Linked DNA regions of Arabidopsis thaliana. The protein of the gene in region 2 interacts with the protein of the main gene of each other region in a biochemical or structural test. Each region holds a gene or a part of one and is shown on either strand. Other genes may lie near its edges.

Region 1 (6,189 bases), on a different chromosome or scaffold from region 2:
TGATTGTTTACTTTTTTTTTTTTTTCACAAAGCTAATTTTATTATCAGCACAAACCATATCAGATACATAAACCCGAGTGAATTACGGGACGACAAAGCCGGCAGGATATAATCCTCCGGTACACAAGCCGGCGAGGAATGAAACCCCGACACTAAGCCCCGACATGGGGAAACGACGTAGAAAGACAAAATAAAACATGATTGATGATTTTACACATAAACATAGTTCTCTCTTTAACCAAATAAACCAAGATCGAAAATTAACTGGCATCGGAGATTTCGTCGGAGATTGAGACACCCACTTTAAGAAAATTTGATCTTCTTGCCTTACTTGATAATTAAAAATCTTCAGAAGAAAAACCTTGGGATACTTTGGATGGCAGACGGTGGAAACTCAGCTAAACATGCAGAGACCGTCGAGAACGCCGTGGCCGGAGATATCGACTATGCGACTTGAACCGGTAGAAAGAACCCAAAATCTGGGCGGATTTCGCCCTAGATCCGTATTGTTGAAGCTGTGTGAGGAAACCCAAAATTAGGTCACCCAACCCGAATCACCACAACACCGACAGTGAGTGGCATAGAGCGATCGTGATTAGGCCAGGGAGTATTTAGTCAGAGAAGAAAACCACGCTAATTTGCAAAATCACCAATCGAAACTATAGATCTAATAAGAGAAATTGAGGAGGAAACGAAATCGAAACCAACCCAGAAATCTCCTTAACCACAACTTAAAGAGACATAACTGAACATAAACCAAAAAGCCAAACCGACGTCATGACCGTGGTGGCTCACAACGCCGGCGGAATTGAAGCGGTGCTTTTGTTTTTAAGAGAGAAGGAAGAGGATATATTTTTTTTTTTTTTTTTTTTTTTTTTGAATATTAAAAATTGTTTACTTATGTTAGCTGATTAATATTAGTAGTATCAAAAACCGTCTGTTACAATTTTCCGATAAGGCCGTCCAATTGGTTCAATTGGCTTCAGCCCGACATCCACCGGCTTAGTATGCGGCGATGGTCGGCTTTCGTCCAGTAAATCCGGCTCCCATTAGCGGTTTTGGCTGGCTTGGTATTTTCATCTGCCGTGAATCGCTGCCGTGAATCGGTTTTATGCCGATTTCTTTTAGTCCTCTTTAGTTTATCTTTTAAAAATCTCTCTGATCTATGTTTGGTGGTGCCAACCTAACAATTTCTCGTTCAACGGTGGTCTCCAACTAGCTCCTTGAGTTTTGTTTTGTTTTATGTTTCCGGTGGTTTCCAGTGAGGTTATGCGGATATCTAATCCGACCAGATCGGGTGGATTTGCTGCTTTTTCTCTTGGATGTTCTCAAACTGGTTCTTCAGATCTTTGGTTACAACAAATCTTCATCGGTAATTATGTTCAATGTAATGAAAGAAGACTTGTTTCCAGCATATTAAGATTGCCTGTAGCTGTTTCAACATTCTCCGGTGACAAGCAACAACAAAAAACGATGCTTAAACTTTTTCCGGCGTCGATTGTGTTTACAATAGTCGGAGTAATTAACGGCGAAGGATGACGGAAAGTTTCCAAGCTTTTCTTGCAACACGTTTCATCTACGTATCTTTGTGTTTGACACGTGTATTGAGCAAAATTTTATCTTTAAGTGATGTAGCCATTTGGGCCATTAATGGGTTGTAACCATTGTGATGTGGATTTTAATAAAACTAAACCTTCAGTGAAAAAAAAAAAAAAGCTGATTAATATTAAAAATCCAACCAGTTTATAATCCAGAACAACGGTTTTCTTAAATTGACTAGTGACCCAAATTCTTAAATAGGCTACAAAAACCGCAGGCCCATTTAGTAATATCTATTTTTCGTTTGACTGAGAGAAAACAAAACACCATCCAATTCCAACGCACAAAAAAAAAAAAAAAAAAACTTATCGGAAACAGAAAAAAGAAGAGAGAGAGCTATCAATCGATCATTGATTGATTGCAGAGAAGCAGCGAAAGAGACATTTCCAAATCTAATCTCAATCCAATCCAATTCAGGTTTTTTCCATCTCTCTCTGTTGAGCTACTTCTGAATTAGCTTCTTCTATGTTCGATTTCCAGCTGTTGATAGTTTAGCTAGAGAATCAATTTCGAATTTCATCTTGAGGAAGCAATTTTAGTAATTTAGGTTTTGAATTTTCCTTTTGAGGTGTTGTAGGGTTGTTGCTACCTTCACGAATGACGACGACTTCTGTTTGCCCGTTCTCGAAAGCTGCTCGTCCTGACGATGGGTCGACTCGAAAACAAGGCGAAATTACCGCTTCTGGTTGTCCTTTTTCTAAAGCTGCTCGTCCCGACGATGCCTCTGCTCGAAAGCAAGGGGAAACGACGGCTTCTGGTTGCCCTTTTTCTAAATCTGCTCGTCCTGACGAAAATGGGAGTAAAGGATGTCCTGAACAAGAAGGAAACTTGAATAAGGACTCTACTGATTCTGCAACGGTACCTGCCAAGTGCCCTTTTGGCTATGACTCTCAAACATTCAAGCTTGGGCCTTTTAGCTGTATGTTATGTCAAGCACTTCTATATGAGAGCAGTAGATGTGTGCCTTGCACACATGTGTTCTGCAAGTAAGCCATAGTTGCTCGGCCGCTTATTTCTTTTTTGGCTCATGATTGGGTCTACTTTTCTTATACTTTGTGGTTTCTTGAATGCAGAGTATGCTTAACACGGTTTAAGGACTGCCCTCTATGCGGTGCTGACATTGAAAGTATTGAAGTTGATGAAAACCTTCAGAAGATGGTTGATCAATTTATTGAAGGCCATGCTAGAATTAAGAGATCTGTCGTCAATGGAACAGAAAAAGAAGAGGTCGAAAATGATAACAAAAAAGTGATTTACGCTGACGTTTCCATGGAAAGAGGTTCTTTCTTGGTGCAACAAGCTATGAGGGTGAGTTCTGTCTCTAAATTTTGTTGACCTAACCGATGGGATTATTCTCTTTTGCACCACTTACATTTGTTATGATGTCCCGCTGTGAGATCTTGTTCTAATTCAACTTGTATGCGCAGGCATTTAGTGCCCAAAATTATGAAAGTGCTAAATCAAGGTTGGCAATGTGTACCGAGGACATTCGGGATCAACTAGGGAGGGAGGGCAATACACCAGAGTTGTGTTCACAGCTTGGTGCAGTCCTTGGCATGCTTGGTGACTGTAGGTATGATATTGTCTTCTTTTTTATCCCAAGTTGTTTATTTCTAAGATGTATCCATTCTCGAGTTTCTGTGAACAATTAAGATTATGAAAACAACGGTGCTTTCGAATGTGGTCACCAATGTGGTCTTTTATGATCCCGCTTGAGCCACTTTGTTGTTCAAATTGATTTTTTTTAATTTGGAGTTTCTCAAGTATGTGGCCCTTCCTTGGCAGTTTCCTCAATTGATAGTTTCTCAAGTCGACTGGTTGTTGCTTTCATCTTGCTTAGAGTGCGCATGGCACTTTGGGAAATACTAAAATAATTTCTTTCTCGTTTGAACTAGATTCTGGTTTTCTAGATGGACCCTGTCTACATCAATTGACTGGAAATATATTCATATATTCAGATTTTTCTGTATCCTCTTATCATTTGCATACATCTTTCTCTGTGGTTCAATCACCTCGTTCAGAATAAATGGAAAGGAGAAGCAACAGTACATGCTTGGTTCGAAAAACCTACTTTATACATAATCATTTTCTCCTCCTGAACTGTGTTATTTTGGCCAAAATGTTTGATCTTCTGTTTGGTGTGTTGAATTTTTTCTTTTTCCGGGACTTAAGTTTGATGGTTAAATTATTTTTTGTTGTTGTTGCAGCCGAGCGATGGGAGACTCAAGCTCTGCAGTCAAGCATTTTGAAGAGAGTGTTGAATTCCTTATGAAACTGCCGTTGAATGATTTGGAGGTTATAGCACATTGGTTCTTGTTAAATTTTGATGTTGAAAACTTTTTACCTTTTTGCTTACAATTTTAACTTAACTTGCAGATTACACATACACTTTCTGTCTCACTCAATAAAATAGGAGATCTAAAATATTATGACGAAGATCTACAAGCTGCAAGGTCGTATTATGATAGAGCTTTAAATGTCAGACGTGATGCAATGAAGCACCACCCAAATGCTCCTTCACAAGTAAGTGTGCCCTCATACAGTTTTCTGTTTTTGCTCTTCTTTGTTTTGTCCCAATGTTTGGTTAGCTGAACTGGCTACTCTTAGTCGCCATATACATTTCAAGGTCTCGCAGAAAAATATCTGTTGTTAGCTAAGTTATTGACTTATTGTAGCATTCGTGAAGGCTCTTTTGTAGATCGTAATCTCTCACTCTCTAGGCAGAAAGCGTTTATTTATGTGATTGTTACATCTTGGTGTTCATTTGGGTCCAGGCAAAATGAATTCAAATGCATTAAAAGATATAGAGATTAACTTAAGGTGCTAGTGGATCAAAGGATCTGAAATACGATGTAAAGTGAAAATAGTATACTTGTTCTCAATGTGTTCAAGCGGGTTTCTTGGTTCACTCTTTTCATTTTACTTATTTGTTACTTTACCATGAATGTTCAGAGAAATTCTCTAAATAGTTTCCTAGATTTTATTCAAGTCAATTGCTATTTTGTTGCCTGGGTTGAACTGAGGTTTAGGTAACTGACGTGTTGTCGTTGCAGTATACATACTTGGATGAGGTGTCATTTAATTCTCTGCGATAAAGTTACTCTCTTTTGGATACATATAATTAGATTTACGTGCATTGTAATTGGGTTATTCTGTTGGTTGGAAATCTTCTCTTTGTTTTCTTATTTTATACTTGATTTCTTGCCTAGAGAAATTGGAACTCAAATATAGTAAGCAAAGGTCTGTCCGGAAGTAGAAATTGATTTCTTTTGTTATTTCTACATTTTTTATGTAGATTCTGGATGTGGCTGTTTCCTTAGCCAAAGTTGCGGATATAGACAGGACTCTACAAAATGAAGTTGCAGCGACAGATGGGTTCAAGGAAGGCATGAGACTGCTGGAATCTTTGAAACTGGACTCTGAAGATTCTGCTCTCGAGCAACGGGTAAGATTCTTGCACGACTCCCTTTTTATTTGTATCTTATCCAAAGCTGCTGAATGTCAGTAAAACTTTATCTGACAAATGTAATTTTAACATGCATGCAGCGGCTCTCTGTACTGGAGTTCCTTAAGAAGCAAGTAGAAACCGATGCTGAAACTGCACTCTAAACCGATGCAGGCTTAAGTACGTATATAGAAATTATACCTAAGTTCTCGTCTGTGGCATTTTGCTGAATAAAGAAAGCAAAAATGTTGTATTTGCGCTCAAGGGACAAAGAAACAGAGTTGTCTGTATGTTGTGAATTGTGATGGTTTTCAACTTTCAATGCACTAATCTTGCAATGTTAAATTGTTAAGCATGATTGTACTCTATGCACTTGTGAAATTTAAAAATTAAGATATCTTAAGCGGCTACAGCTGTGAACTGCTTTCTATTTCTTTTCAGTGCAAAATGAGAAAGAACCCAACAGAGATTGAGAGATGATGTGAAAGGAAAATGCAAGTATTTGCAAACTCAATCAGCTACAAAGAGTATAAATTGCGACAACAAAAATTTGTCTTTGTTGTTTTGTTGAATGAAGTTTTTCTTGTAACTACTCTTACAAAAATAAAAACATAAACATAGTCAATCCCTAAAGCCGATGATACTATGCAAACGACAAAGATATACTAACTCCAACGCACGAATCAACAAAATTAGGTCACTTTTACGAAAATAAATCTACATAATCAACAAAATTAGGTCAACTTCGTTCTATTTGTAAAGCTTTTTTCAGTATTTTTTTCTTTAATATGTTCACGTCTTTTAACTGTTCATATAATTACGTAACTAAATCTTTAACTTCGTATGTAAAACTATGTTTTTACGTATTAGATATAGAGAAATTGTTAAGAATGTTTTTCCAAAAATATGTTTTTTTAGTACTATCCTCCCATGTAATCATTTTTATTGATATTATCTTTTAATTATTAATGACTATTTTGCTTCTATTTGAAAATACTTAAATCAACAAAATGAAAAAATGATTTTTTCCGCCAAAAAATGTACTTCACATCAACTGCTATGAAACAATGTACTGATTTTATCAATTCACAAAAATTCTTGCCTCTAATCAATCGTGATTCAAGCAATCATGCAAAATCTTGAGT
Region 2 (5,381 bases):
ATTCATATTTTAGCTGGTTGCAAACACCAGCTATATTCGTTTATGGATTTTGGTCTAATTATTATTAAAAAAACAAAAATTAACCATAAGGTGAGTTTGTTTTGTGTATCCTTCTTATTTTTAACCAAGAAGGAACTTACATCAAGATTAGTTGAAATTTTCAAAAAGACGACACGTGCTGAGAAAAATATGTTCTTGATCCTTGACATTGGAAATGGAAGTAGTAGCTAGCTACTTAATCGTTGTATATCTTTAAGAGTTGGGCTAGACCAGATAATTCAGCCCATTTTGATGTATTAGCGACAATTCTTTTGATAGCATTTTTGGGCTAAGTCTATTCGTAATGGGTTTCAATCATCTCATTGTTTCTTCAGCACATTTTTGAGCCTGCTTATTTTTTTTCAGAACGTATGGAACAAGATCACATGTTTAATTATGTATGGTCGACATGTTTCAATCCGTTGGCTTTAAGGTCTTAATAACGTACGATACATTAGTTTTGTTTTGTTGCATGTAACCTGTGTGGTTGTACTTGTACGTTCACTACTTGTTGGTTTCTTTATAACCAATAGAATTCGGCAATTCAGTACCATGTATATGTTTTTCTTAACCGACCATATATTCCATAATTCACATGCCATCTCTTAAAAGAAATACAAGCACTCATAGCCATAGGTGGTGGATGAAGAAATATGTGTGTTAAAAATTTCTTCTATTGTCCAAAATCAACAGCTTGATCAGATGAACTTCTGAGCGAGCCAGAGGGTTCCAAGGTGGGCCATTGGGAACTTGATAAATCTCATCTCGTCACATCTCCCAAGGGGCAAAACAAAAACTTAAGAAATAATCAATTCAAAAGGCATATTCTTCCCGCTTGGGGCGTTCACACTATCTCATCACACGTGGAATCCAACAAAGCAGCCACGTCACCCAAGACCATACTAAACCACTTAAAAAGGTTTTGCTAAAAGGCCAAAAAAACCGGATAAGGAACCACAGCCCAATGACGTCCTCATTTATTTTATTTTCATTGAATTGCCTAATATTTATTTCTTTTGTCGTCCTTCTTCCTTGCTTTTGTTACCATATAAAAAAAACTTTTTTTTTAAGTACAGAATATATATATGACAATATCGCAATCGTGGGTTCAGCTTATCTTAAGTTCTCGGGAACCTAAATTCGGATCGCATTGACGATGTTGATCTATCAAACCACAGCCAGTTAGTTTATAAGGTTCAAAATTAATCGTTTATCAAAAACTACATGTAAGTTGGCTTTGTTCAACGAATTTTTAGAAAAACGTAAAACGATATAATTTGGCAGGACCAAATAAAAACCAATGCCATGGATTTCATCTTCTATTACATCATAGAATAGATTCAATTCTGTAAGGGTTGACTTTGTTTTAATCATTATTCTACATTCTCTAATAATAATAGATTTTGTTAAACTTGTTAATGTGATGTAAATCAAAAGTACAGTTATTTGCTATGAGTGTCTGAGATTAAAAGATAGTCGCACTAATTCATTTAGATTAGTTTATAATCCAATTAACAAAATAAAAATGAGCGAATAAAACAAATTAAAACTACTTTTTCTGAATTTGAATAAATAGTAGGTAACCGGTGGTTGGATTAAGAAAAATATATATGAAACAATTCGTGGTACTGTGATCATAAATAATACTTGACGTTCCTGAATTTCTCGCCACAATATATAACATTTGTTTTTTTCTTTCCAGTATTTATCACATGAAAAAACTAAAATAAAGAAAAAACGATAACCTTTAAAAATTCCCCCCTCAAAATAAAGAAAAAAATAAAAAGCTAAAAAGGCAGTAATACACACGCCATTTATAAATAAGGCAAGTGAATATAAAATAGTGCCTCATCATCATCAGTACCATCTCCTCGTTTTGATAAAAATCTCTGAATCTCTCCAAGCTCTCTTCTCATCAAACCATGGATCCTTACAAGGTAAACCCTTCTTTCTTTTCTCTCTAACCTTTTCGTCTTTTGTAATTTCTCCGTATAAACTGGATTGAAACGTTGTTATTAGCTTATGGAATTGCACCCAAAGTTTTGACCTTTTTTTCTACTCGAATCTGCAAATATACAATTAAGTCTTTCCATTGCTCTAAGATCATGTGCCTTTTGACTTGTGATTCTTTCGAATCATTGTGGTTTTTCTCTGATGTTAATTTTAATTTCCTTTGCAATTGATGATGATGATGCAGTATCGTCCAGCTAGTTCTTACAACTCTCCCTTCTTCACCACCAACTCTGGTGCTCCTGTATGGAACAACAACTCCTCCATGACCGTTGGACCCAGAGGTACCTCTTCTTCTCCCATGAATAAGTCTGTTCTCCTCAATGTTATTGTTGCATTTCTGATTGTTTTTTTGGGCAGGTCCTATCCTTCTTGAGGATTACCATCTCGTTGAGAAGCTTGCCAATTTCGACAGGGAACGGATTCCAGAGCGTGTGGTTCATGCCAGAGGAGCCAGTGCTAAAGGTTTCTTTGAGGTCACTCATGATATCTCTAACCTCACTTGTGCTGACTTTCTCCGAGCTCCCGGTGTTCAGACTCCTGTCATTGTCCGGTTCTCCACCGTTATCCATGAGCGTGGAAGTCCCGAGACCTTGAGAGACCCTCGTGGTTTTGCAGTCAAGTTCTACACCAGAGAGGTCAGTTAGTAGTTTGTAACATTTAAGAATGCTAGCAATTACTTATATACTAAGCAAATGATCATTCTTTGTATGCAGGGGAACTTTGATCTTGTTGGAAACAACTTTCCTGTTTTCTTCATCCGCGATGGGATGAAGTTCCCTGACATGGTCCACGCTCTTAAGCCGAACCCAAAATCTCACATCCAAGAGAACTGGAGAATCCTTGACTTCTTCTCCCACCACCCTGAAAGTTTGAACATGTTCACTTTCCTCTTCGATGATATCGGTATCCCACAAGATTACAGGCACATGGATGGTTCAGGTGTCAATACATACATGTTGATCAACAAAGCTGGCAAAGCTCACTACGTGAAGTTCCATTGGAAACCAACTTGTGGAGTCAAGTCTCTTTTGGAAGAAGATGCAATTCGTGTTGGAGGAACCAACCACAGTCATGCGACTCAAGACTTGTATGACTCTATAGCTGCTGGAAACTACCCTGAATGGAAGCTCTTTATCCAAATCATTGATCCTGCTGATGAAGACAAGTTCGACTTTGACCCGCTCGATGTGACCAAGACCTGGCCTGAGGATATCTTGCCTCTTCAACCTGTTGGACGTATGGTGTTGAACAAGAACATTGACAACTTCTTTGCAGAGAATGAGCAACTTGCTTTCTGTCCTGCAATTATTGTCCCAGGGATACATTACTCAGATGATAAGCTGCTTCAAACCCGTGTCTTCTCCTATGCCGATACTCAGAGACACCGTCTTGGACCAAACTACCTTCAGCTGCCAGTCAATGCTCCAAAATGTGCTCACCACAACAACCACCATGAGGGATTCATGAATTTCATGCACAGGGACGAGGAGGTACTTAATAGTACACTATCAATATCTTTATATCGAACTTGAAGCTAGAATACCATAGTCTTACAAGAAGCTGTTGTTACAGGTTAACTACTTCCCGTCGAGGTATGACCAGGTTCGTCATGCTGAGAAGTATCCAACTCCGCCTGCTGTCTGTTCTGGAAAACGTGAGAGGGTCAGTAATCAACTCTGTTTTCCTCTCTGTTTCTGTTTCCCATGGATTGGTTCACTTAAGAACATATGATCTAAAAGTTTCGAAATCTGTTTTTTTTTCAGTGCATTATTGAGAAAGAGAACAACTTCAAGGAGCCTGGAGAGAGATACCGTACCTTTACACCAGAGAGGTACTAATTGTTTTATTTTTGTAATGATGCTTAATGCATAAAAGGAACATCTGTGTTCTTAACGTTTTACGGTATGTTTTCAACTTCAGGCAAGAACGATTCATCCAGAGATGGATTGATGCCCTATCCGACCCACGCATCACGCATGAAATCCGCAGTATCTGGATCTCTTACTGGTCTCAGGTCTGAAATCTTGATCTCTGTTACTGTCATTGTCTCGTTCTTCAAGTCTCAGCAGTTGAAAAGTTGTCAAGTTTTAAACATTTTTGACTGATTGGTTAAAAATGTGTGAAACAGGCTGATAAGTCTTTGGGACAGAAGCTGGCAAGCCGTCTGAACGTGAGACCAAGCATCTAAAACGAGTGAAAGAATTCTTGATTGGCCTTTCTGTGGTTGTTAATTAGCAGAGAAAAGAAAATGGGAAGAGATCAAAGTTGCGATAATACAATCTTCATCATGTGGATCTTCTGTGCTATGTTATAATAGTATCTGTTTAAAGACCAAAAGAACCTTGTGTGTTGTTGTGTCTCTCGTTTATCAGAATAATACATTATACATTGAAGATTTATAATCCGTGGTGTTACTTGATGAAAGCTCCTTCTTCCTTGAAAGATTGTGACATATTCTTATATATTTCTCATATATTAACGAATGTAATCCCGTAAGAGCTGTCGACAAAGACGTGATTTTTAGTCTGCATGTTCTGGACGAAAGGGAATAGCAAAGTATGAAACGAAAAAGACAAGAAAATCCATAAATTCTTATGTGTGGGTATTAGGGAATTTACAATAGTTGTCAATATGTGTTGTAACAGTGGCCACATTTGTGTATAACGTCGTTGTATCAAGTGTGGGGTGTCGAGAGTCTTTAGATTTGGTGTGAATAATCTGACAATTTGGATTTGAACTCTGCTTTGACATCCTGACATTAGAAAATAAACTTGGTTTTGACATTTTGGGGTTTGTATTTGTGACAAGTACTGTTCAAATGATATAAACAAGAATGACTTTTTAGTTAAAATTTGATAATATTACAAAGTATGGTTACATGCAGTTGATCGATAATTCAGAACCAAAACCAAACTTCTCTTAAAAATAAGGAAAATAAAAAGAATCACCAAATGGTTTTCTCCGAGAGGAGTTTCTGAAGCAAGATTACGAGATTTTGTTCGTACAGGTGACAATAATACGAGTGATATGGACCCAAAAAAACCTCTCTTTCTTCTATAAGAACTACAAAGATTTCAACTTGTCTCATTTACCTGAAGAAGCTTTTACTTTCTCAGTAGAGGCTAAAACCAAAGAAAGGGCTGATGACAATTCCCAATCCAAGACCAATAGCCACAAGTGACGAAACCCAAGTTAGTTTCTCTGTGATCCTTGGAACTTTCTCTTTCAAAGCCTCACTGCAAGACCCAATAAACGCTGTGTAACTTCCCATCGCTATAACTGTCCCAACCAGAAACATTATCAAAAACGCAGACCCTGCTAACCGTGAT

What was found. Proteins that work in one complex are often made in the same cells at the same time.
Region 1: the proteins of CAT2 (region 2) and AT3G54360 form a complex in vitro, tested with the Arabidopsis thaliana proteins (one study listed by BioGRID).

Annotation. Positions count from the first base shown.
Region 1 is NC_003074.8:20,127,589-20,133,777, reverse strand, and holds AT3G54360 (zinc ion binding protein), read left to right. Parts: upstream 1-1,864; 5' UTR 1,865-2,016; intron 2,017-2,176; 5' UTR 2,177-2,196; coding exon 2,197-2,585; intron 2,586-2,672; coding exon 2,673-2,907; intron 2,908-3,026; coding exon 3,027-3,172; intron 3,173-3,806; coding exon 3,807-3,894; intron 3,895-3,975; coding exon 3,976-4,122; intron 4,123-4,894; coding exon 4,895-5,044; intron 5,045-5,145; coding exon 5,146-5,208; 3' UTR 5,209-5,224; exon of another isoform or gene 5,225-5,485; 3' UTR 5,486-5,651; downstream 5,652-6,189. Other genes in the region: AT3G54363 (uncharacterized protein), read left to right, coding at 1,243-1,539. UniProt on the Arabidopsis thaliana protein: Has holdase chaperone activity that may fold catalase to a functional structure. Not required for the peroxisome import of catalases. Required for the activity of catalases and acts mainly at the post-transcriptional level.
Region 2 is NC_003075.7:16,699,796-16,705,176, reverse strand, and holds CAT2 (catalase 2), read left to right. Parts: upstream 1-1,672; 5' UTR 1,673-1,961; coding exon 1,962-1,976; exon of another isoform or gene 1,977-2,221; coding exon of another isoform or gene 2,222-2,236; coding exon 2,237-2,333; intron 2,334-2,409; coding exon 2,410-2,687; intron 2,688-2,765; coding exon 2,766-3,542; intron 3,543-3,624; coding exon 3,625-3,714; intron 3,715-3,815; coding exon 3,816-3,883; intron 3,884-3,972; coding exon 3,973-4,066; coding exon of another isoform or gene 4,067-4,072; exon of another isoform or gene 4,073-4,180; coding exon 4,181-4,240; 3' UTR 4,241-4,865; downstream 4,866-5,381. Other genes in the region: AT4G35080 (high-affinity nickel-transport family protein), read right to left, coding at 5,165-5,381. UniProt on the Arabidopsis thaliana protein: Catalyzes the degradation of hydrogen peroxide (H(2)O(2)) generated by peroxisomal oxidases to water and oxygen, thereby protecting cells from the toxic effects of hydrogen peroxide.